2 linked regions of the Macaca fascicularis genome follow. The protein of the gene in region 1 purifies or fractionates together with the protein of each later gene. This does not show direct contact. Links are inferred from orthologs where the notes say so. Each region holds a gene or a part of one and is shown on either strand. Other genes may lie near its edges.

Region 1 (4,318 bases):
TGATTTGGCGATCGTGGGGTGGTGTGCGTGAAAATGTAGTTTTTACTTCTCTATCCGTTTCCTGATTTCCACGTTTCAGCGTTTTCCACTTTATCAGGTTGAACCAGCTCACCAGGTTCAACTCCTGTGCCATCACACCTAGGTGTGCTTGAGGGATGGATGCCCCTGAGAATGGAAGGTCAGCAGCATGAATATTGCAACTACAGAAGGGTAGGAAAGAAAAAGGGCTGCGTAAATAGGACTGATGGGGAGGGAGAACCGAAGGTAAAGCAAATGCAAAGAAAATGCGAGGGGCCGGGCACGGTGGCTCACGCCTGTAATCCCAGCACTTTGGGAGACCGAGGCGGGCAAATCACCTGAGGTCAGGAGTTCGACACCAGCCTGACCAACAGGTGAAACCCCGTCTCTACTAAATAGAAAAAATTAGCCAGGCGTGGTAGCATACGCCTGTAATCCCAGCTATTTGGGAGGCTGAGGCAGGAGAATCACTTGAACCCAGGAGGTGGAGGGTGCAGTGAGCCGAGATTGTGCCATTGCACTCTACCCCGGGCAACAAGAGCGAAACTCCATCTCAAAAAAAAAAAAAAAAAGAAAGAAAATGCGAGGAAGCAGGCTGGGTCGGACTGGGGATAGGCTTGACCACCTTTCAATTTTCAACCCAGTGGTACGACTCTGGCGGCAGGCAGAGGCCCCACCTCCTCTGCAGAGAGCTCTCGGGTTCTCCCGGATTCCTAAAGGACGGCAAAGGCCTGAAGCAGGTTCTCTCAGCACCGCACAGACCCTTCTACTTCGCGGGGAGGTTCTTCCTGCGCCCAGGTGTTCCTCAGCCTTCCTCTCCTCGCCCAGGAAGAGGTTGTGAGGATTACATCATCCCAACCCGAGCAGCGTGGCCAGTTTTTCCATCTCAAACTCTTGCTCTTTAAGTCAACCGGGATGGAGCACTCATGTTTCCCCGTCAGGCCTGGCCCTGGAAAGGGGGCACGCCGGGAGGCGTCTCGTTCTAGCAAAGAGGCTATTAAATGACCCAGGGCGCAGTTTTTTCTCGCGTTTACGAGCTCCACCTACATGGGAACACATGGCCACCCAAGCCCGTCGCTGCGCCAAGACCTCCAACTCAATACACCCGACAAACGCTGGGCAGAGAAACCGCAGCGCAGTCCAGCGGGAGACCCCAGGACTGGAAGGAGGTGCAGGGTTCGGGAAGGGTGTCTCGGGGGGAAAGCGGGGGGGGGGGGGGCGCTGCGCCTGCGCAGTCGCTAAGCAGCGGCTCCCGCGGGGCGTGCTCGTAACGCCGCGCACCCTATCAGGCGGCTACAGGGAGCGCGCCCGCGGCCTCGCCCTCTATCGCCCCTCCCTTCTCCCCTCTGGGTCCAGCCTCAGACTGAGGCTTGGATACCCGAGCATTCCACTCCACTTCGGCGCGCCCCGTGCCCTCTTGTGCGCGTGCGCAGAGGCGAACCGCAGGGCTAGGGCGTGAGGGAAGGGCGGGCGTACGTCCTTGCGTGCGTCTCAGGCAGCGCGCACGGCGGCGTGAGAGGGCACGGGGAAAAGGTGGCTCTGGCCGGGGCGGCTCGGTTTCATGGGGCTATGTAACTGAGCTCGTCGACTTGGGGGTCTTTCTTCGCTGCCCTCGCCGCGTGCTAGCGCGGAGTTTCTGCTCGCGAGAGAGACTGTCCTCACGCCCGCCGCGCCTCGTCGACGGCAGAGCAGGCTTGCTCGCCCGTGGGAGCGTCCCGGCCGAGAAGCCCTGAGGGGGGAGGGGAGGCCATTTTGTCCCGACCGACTCCCCGGAACCGGGCGGAGCGGCTGGGAGAGGCTGCGGAGCTGTGGTCGCCGCCCTCGGAGGCACTGGACGCCGCCACTGTCGGGGCTTCCCCGAAGCTGTTCGTAGGTCGCCCGCGCCCTCTCGAGCCTTCCTTTTTCCCACGCTTCCCCGGTCCTCCGGCCTGAGAACGCCCGAGTGAGGAGTTGGCCCTAGTGAGAGGGACCGATCCCTTGGGGCCGCCGGCGGCGAGAGCCCGAGCCGCTCCTCCCAATGGCGAAGAAGACGTACGACCTGCTTTTCAAGCTGCTCCTGATCGGGGATTCGGGAGTGGGGAAGACCTGCGTCCTTTTTCGTTTTTCGGATGATGCCTTCAATACTACCTTTATTTCCACCATAGGTAAGACCTGTGGGAGGACGGTGTACAGTCTCGGTAGCTGCAAACCGTTTATTTTACTCCAGACATCTTGCTTCCCGTAATATACGCCTTTGTTTCAGTGATTCCGATTCCAAACGACAGATCCAAGTTACTGTTTGAATCGGCATCGAGCTTACTGGGGCGGGGTCTTCCCATGATTTCCATCCGGTCTTTTGCTTTCGAGTCTCCCACTATGCTCAGTGCCTTCTGTTACAAAATATGCACCATTTAACCGTGTTCCAGAACCTTATTTCTTCAGGCGACTGGACTGGCTTTTTCCACATTTGCATGGAATTACTAGATGTGTGATATTTTTAAAGTATTTATTTCAGTGGTTGCGATTGAAGCAGTACTAGCTATTTGGGAAAGGCCTGAATTTATACTTTGGGGCAAAGAGAAGATTCCATATGCTCATAACTTAGAGTAAACTTGAGGGTTTCTGAGAAGGATAATTAAGGTAAATTAGAAGGGAAAAGTGAGTTGCCCTCATTGACTAATCCATTGATGTGTCAAACAATCGGAGGCTCTTCGCGCTTGGGGCGGGACTCTGGCATATTTGCCTCAGCGCTTTTCGAGACATCAACAGAAGCAGTAATCTGAGGAAGATGATCAGTTTCTGTCCTCAAACCCAACAGAGTGAAGTCAAGTTCTCTCTTCTATTTTATTTGACTCTAGTATTTACAGGAAAGTATTTTGCCAGTCATAGCCCTATGGACTTACAATGCACTTTCACCGTGTTTCAGAATTACTTAGTGTGGCAGTAAGAGCTGAAGAGTGACCTTTTTAATCGAATTTCCCGTTTAGGAAAGGAAAAGGGAAAGCTCTAGGAAAGTCCCTTTTGAATCTGGGTAGAAAATTTAAGTGGCGCTGACGCTAATTGTGCTTTATTAATTGTGAAACCCATCCGCTCCCCAATACATTTCTTAAAAGACACATGGCTCTCAGCATTGTGGCCGTGCAGTTGAACCCATGTTTAAATGTAATTTTATATTGAGACGATTTTAAAAAGCAACTGCAGTCGTCTTTGAACTCTGGGAATTGTCAAAATTAAGCTGATTTGAAGCAATTTATATAGCGTTACTGAAATATTTGGTTTGGGTTTTCTTTTGTGACAAATATCAGCTGCTTCGTTCTCACAAAATACATTTTACAGAAATTAAATTGGACAAGTCATTTTTTAAATAGATTTTTATTTTGCTCACCTTTTTTGGGAGGCAAATTATCATAATCCTTATTTCCAGAGTATCATACTGTTTTCTTGGTTTGTCATAAATTTCATGAAACTTAGGGCTTGTTCTCTAACTTGTGGGTTAGAGAATACTAGCACTTAGCGCTAGCACTTCCCTAGCACTAAGTTTGCTTTTAACACTCCACTTTTAGCTGTAGCTGGCTGGGGTTAGGTGATCAGATGGGTCAGCAAATATTTATTGAGCATCTAATGCTGGGCACTGTTCTTAGACACTGAGAATAAATGAACACAACAGACCCCTTGAGGAGCATTCCAGTAAGATGCTACAGTAGTAAGCATAGGGAGGAAGAGTGCCTAGTCTAAATCGTGAGGAGTTTGAGTAGACTTACATAGAGATGATACCTAAAATGAAGTCTGGGCCGGCGCTGTGGCTCACACCTGTAATCCCAGCACTTTAGGAGGCCTTGGCGGGCGGATCATAAGGTCGGAAGTTCAACATCAGCTTGGCCAATATCGTGAAACCCCATTTTTACTAAAAATACAAAAATTAGCTGGGCGTAGTGGCAGGTGCCTGTAGTCCCAGCTACTCAGGAGGCTGAGGCAGGAGAATGGCTTGAACCTGGGAGGCGGAGGTTACAGTGAGCTGAGATTGTGCCCCTGCACTCCAGCCTGGGCAACAAAACGAGACTTAGTCTCAAAAAAATAATAATAAATGAAGTCTGGAGGACTAATAGGAATTGAGTCAGAGGGGTGGGATAGGGCCTTTCTGGAAAAGGGAGCATAGAACAAATGTATAGTAAGGTTGAGGATTTAATTCATGTGGTCAACTTTCTTTCTTTCTTTCTTTATTTTGAGACTGAACCTCACTCTGTCACCCAGGCTGGAGTGCAGTGGTGTGATCTCGGCTCATTGCAACCTCCGCCTCAGGGGTTCAAGCAGTTCTGCCTCA
Region 2 (4,331 bases), on another chromosome or scaffold:
ACCTCCCTGTTCATGCTCTTCATCTTCACCTACGGCCTGCACATGATCCTCAGTCTCAAGACCATGGATCGCTTTGATGATCACAAGGGCCCCACCATTTCTTTGACCCAGATCGTCTGACCCTGTGCCAGTGGGGGATTGAGGGTGGGACAGTGTCCGTGTTGTTGCTTTCCCACCCTGCAGCACACTGGACTGGAGCTTCCCTCTTCCTACCGCAGCATGAACCCCAAGCTCCCCTCAGCCCATCTTGCTCCCTCTTCAGCCTGCTGAGGAGCTTTCCTGGGCTGCCCCCATCTCTCCCAACAAGGTGTACATATTCTGCGTAGATGCTAGACCAACCAGCTTTCCAGGCTTAGTCGCTGTGAGGCGTAAGGGACATGAATTCTAGGGTCCCCTTTCTCCTTATTTATTCTTGTGTCTACATCATCCCTGGCTGTGGATAGTGTTTTTGTGTAGCAAATGCTCCCTCCTTAAGGTTATAGGGCTCCCTGAGTTTGGGGTGTGGAAGTTCTACTTAACTGTCCTGCTTGGCTGTCGTTATCGTTTTCTGGTGATGTTGTGCTAACAATAAGCAGTACACTGGGGTTTATTTCTGTGGCCTGAGAAGGAAGGCACCTCCACAGGTGGGCTGGGTGCGATCGTCGGCTGTCTGGCATGTTCCCACCGGAAGTGCCTGGCAGGAGCAGGGGGTGCTCGGTTGTTTCCTTCCTAATAAAGTAAACGAGGATCGCCATGCGTTGGGCCTCTTGTCGCTCATTTCTGCGCTGAGCTTTTGGCGCGTGCTCGCCAGAGGTATGCGGGAGGATGGAGCCTGGAGAGGGGGAGGCTAGGAGGCATCCCCGGAGACCGGGAGGGGCTTTAGTAAGCTGGGCCCTAACCGCTTAGGTCAGGGAGGGGTGGTCGGGCCGAGTCCCGGTGCGCTTCGGCGTCTCAGGAGGCCGTAGTGACAATGGCAGCCTTCGCGTCGTGAGGGAGCCGCCCCCGGCTGCCGCAGCGGCGCGCGTCCGGTCGCGGGGCCGCGCCGAGACTCCCGGGGGGCGGGGCGGGCGCGCGCGGGGCGGGGCGGGGCGGGGCGCGCCCGGCTCCCGCGCATGGATCCTTCCCGGGCCGCAGCACCGGCCGCCGGCCCGCCCCGCCCGCCCCGCCCGCCCCGCCCCGAGCCTCTCTGGACTCTCGGCGAGCAACGTCGCCCGCGGAGCCGCGCTGGTGCTGTGGCCCGGGCCCTGGCAGCCCTCCCGGGAGGCGAGCCGGGAAGGCGGTGTCCCCTGCCGGGTGCGGCGGGGCGCGGGAAGAGGCGGGACTCTTTGACGCGGCGGAGGGGTCGGGCGGCGGCCGACGCTCCGCCATCTTTGGTCCAGTGCGGTGGCGGCGGCGGCGGTGGCTACTGCTGTGGTGAAGGAGGAGGAGGAGCCGAGCGGGCGCTGCCACTGAGGCCTGACCATGGACGAGGAATACGATGTAATCGTGCTGGGGACCGGCCTCACCGTAAGTGCGGCCCCGGGCGCCCTTGGCCCTGCGTCGTGCCCTCGCCATTCCCCGCGATGATGCGGCCGCCGGCCCATCCTCCGGTCACTGCCATCTTCTGCGCTCGGCTCCCCGAAAAGCCGGCGCCGTGCCCACCCCGCTGCTCCCCCCGCGATGTCGCCTCTGTTCGTTGCCATGACCCCATCTCCCCGAAGGGGCCCCCTTCCTGGCCGCCCCCTGGCCTACCCGGGTCCGACCCCCGGCGCTCTCCCATCTTCCCTACCCCTGCCCTCTGGACCGGAAAACGCACCCCCACTCGGCCCGTTGCCCCCGACCCCGCCCACCCATCGCCCCCACCCCGCCCACCCATCGCCCCCACCCCGCCCACCCATCGCCCCCACCCATCACGGCATCCACCCGTCGCCCGCACCCATCGCCCGCCTAGCGTTGCCTCCCAGCGTCCCTTCCCATCTTGCGCTAATCCCTGTGAGGATGAAGTACAAGGACCTGGGGTCAGGGGGCCTCGCCAGGGTGGGCTCTCAGCCCACCCCCTCGTCGTCTTCTGGGGCCAGGGGATCCAGGGAATGTTCCAGAAGGAGCAGCAGTGGGGGCAGTAAGCACATTCCCGCAACCCCACCTCGGTTGCCCATGGAGACCTCAGGCTGAGTAGCATCTGCAGCCTTTGTCCTTGGGCTAGTGACAGTGACTGGTGAGGGTGTTTATCTTCCCCCTTTCCCCGAAAATCCCGTTGGCCCACTCCCCTCAGAGACTCTTCTCCCTCGGTCCAGACCCAGATGCCCCTCCTCAGCGGCAGGGGCTCCTGCTCTTTGAAGAAAGAGCAGTCCAGGGTGGGGCCTACAATTTCAAGGACTGTGCTAAGCCTTTCTTTGCTTCCCTTTGGAGTGTCTTTCGCAGTCCAGCTGGGTCCCCTCTGTGCCACATTGTGTTTTATCCGCCTTTTTGTGCGGCTCTGCGTAGGTAGATGCCTCTCGGCGTGTTGGTACTGGAAGGCCATCCTGTGTCTGCTGGATGCCCTGCCTACCTCAAAGCCTCCGTTATTTCACTGTCTGCCTTGTGAGGGGGACGGTCTCCTTTACCCCGCAAGGTTGCAATGGAGAGTGTGGTCGGATGAAACCATCACCCCAATTTTAGGCGAGGCAACTAGCCGGTGGGGGTGGTGGATGGAAGGAGCTGTCCACTGAGGCAGGTTTGGGTGGGGAACAAATCAGGGCTGCTGGTAGGAGCAGAGGAAGGTGGGAGTGCAGCGGATTGTGTGGCCCTCCCCCAGGAATGCATCTTGTCGGGCATCATGTCTGTGAACGGGAAGAAGGTGCTGCACATGGACCGGAACCCCTACTACGGGGGCGAGAGCTCCTCCATCACACCCCTGGAGGAGGTGAGGCTGCCTGGGCCCAGGCCCATCCCTGTTAACCTCCCACACAGCGGCACAGGGTGGAAGTAGCTCTCCAGGTGCCTGGAGCAGGAGGAGGTGGTCCCTGAGGTGTCTCTCTCTCCCTTCTGCTTACAGCTGTATAAGCGTTTTCAGTTGCTGGAGGGGCCCCCTGAGTCCATGGGCCGAGGCCGAGACTGGAACGTTGACCTGATTCCCAAATTCCTCATGGCTAACGGTGAGGGACAGGAAGGAGGTATTGCAGGTCGGGGGTGATAGGGAAGACCTAAGGACAGTCAGGCTCCAAAGGAGGCACAGCCAGACCAGCTAGAACCTCTGGAGAGAGCCGTGCTGATGTTGCCCTTGTGCACCCCCACAGGGCAGCTGGTAAAGATGCTACTGTATACAGAAGTGACTCGCTACCTGGACTTCAAGGTGGTGGAGGGCAGCTTTGTCTACAAGGGGGGCAAGATCTACAAAGTGCCGTCCACTGAGACTGAGGCCTTGGCTTCCAGTGAGTGTGGGCCCCCTGAGCCAGAGAAATCATGGGGTGGCAGGGAAGCCAACTGTCTTTGGGATGGGTGGCTGTCCAGAGTAAGGCACCCCTTTGTCCAAAGTCACATTCCCCCATGAAGGACCAGAGGCCCTTCACTCTGTATTCCCTCTGCCCCATGTCATGCCGCATGGCTGGCTGCCAAGAGGGAGGTCCCCACGCAGCAGGGATGTGACGTGGAGGGGAACGGGACTCCTTTTGAAAGACTTGAGCGTGGCCAGGCACGGTGGCTCATGCCTGTAATCCCAGCACTTTGAGAGGCCTAGGCGGGTGGATCACGAGGTTAGGAGTTCAAGACCAGCCTGGCCAACATGGTGAAACCCCGTCTTGTCTCAAAATACAAAAAATTAGCTGAGTGTGGTGGCACACACCTGTAATCCCAGCTACTCGGGAGGCTGAGGCAAGAGAATGGTTTGAACCCGGGAGGTGGAGGTTGTGGTGAGCCGAGATCATACCACTGCACTCCAGCCTGGGCGATAGAGCAAGACTCCATCTCAAAAAACAACAACAACAAAGAAAACTTGAGCCTTTGGCAGGGGCTCCACTGGATCCTCAAGACATCCCCAAGTGTCCAAGCCAGGAAAGCCCTTAGAGTCCATCCAGGCCAATCCCCTCTTCATCCTGGTGGGGAAACTGAGGCTAAAAAGGGTGGAGAGGTTAACCTAAGGTCACAGGACAGCTGGGCTGGGAGTGGGGGTGCCTGCCCTGCTGAGATGGAGAGTTTTGTGCTGCGTTGGTGCAGAACCTCCTCCCGCCACCTTCCTTAGATCTGATGGGTATGTTTGAGAAACGGCGCTTCCGCAAGTTCCTGGTGTTTGTGGCAAACTTCGATGAGAATGACCCCAAGACCTTTGAGGGTGTTGACCCCCAGACTACCAGCATGCGTGATGTCTACCGGAAGTTTGATCTGGGCCAGGATGTCAT

The links.
Region 2: the proteins of RAB10 (region 1) and GDI1 purify together in Homo sapiens (co-immunoprecipitation; 4 studies listed by BioGRID and IntAct, counting the BioPlex papers as one, with this or other methods). This does not show direct contact. The link is inferred for Macaca fascicularis from reciprocal best matches to the Homo sapiens genes RAB10 and GDI1.

The regions. Positions count from the first base shown.
Region 1 is NC_088387.1:96,200,991-96,205,308, reverse strand, and holds the start of RAB10 (ras-related protein Rab-10), read left to right. Parts: upstream 1-1,511; 5' UTR 1,512-2,035; coding exon 2,036-2,162; intron 2,163-4,318. UniProt on the Homo sapiens protein: The small GTPases Rab are key regulators of intracellular membrane trafficking, from the formation of transport vesicles to their fusion with membranes.
Region 2 is NC_088395.1:160,436,755-160,441,085, forward strand, and holds the start of GDI1 (rab GDP dissociation inhibitor alpha), read left to right. Parts: upstream 1-1,345; 5' UTR 1,346-1,440; coding exon 1,441-1,485; intron 1,486-2,752; coding exon 2,753-2,860; intron 2,861-2,992; coding exon 2,993-3,092; intron 3,093-3,233; coding exon 3,234-3,368; intron 3,369-4,174; coding exon 4,175-4,331. Other genes in the region: ATP6AP1 (V-type proton ATPase subunit S1), read left to right, coding at 1-120. UniProt on the Homo sapiens protein: Regulates the GDP/GTP exchange reaction of most Rab proteins by inhibiting the dissociation of GDP from them, and the subsequent binding of GTP to them. Promotes the dissociation of GDP-bound Rab proteins from the membrane and inhibits their activation.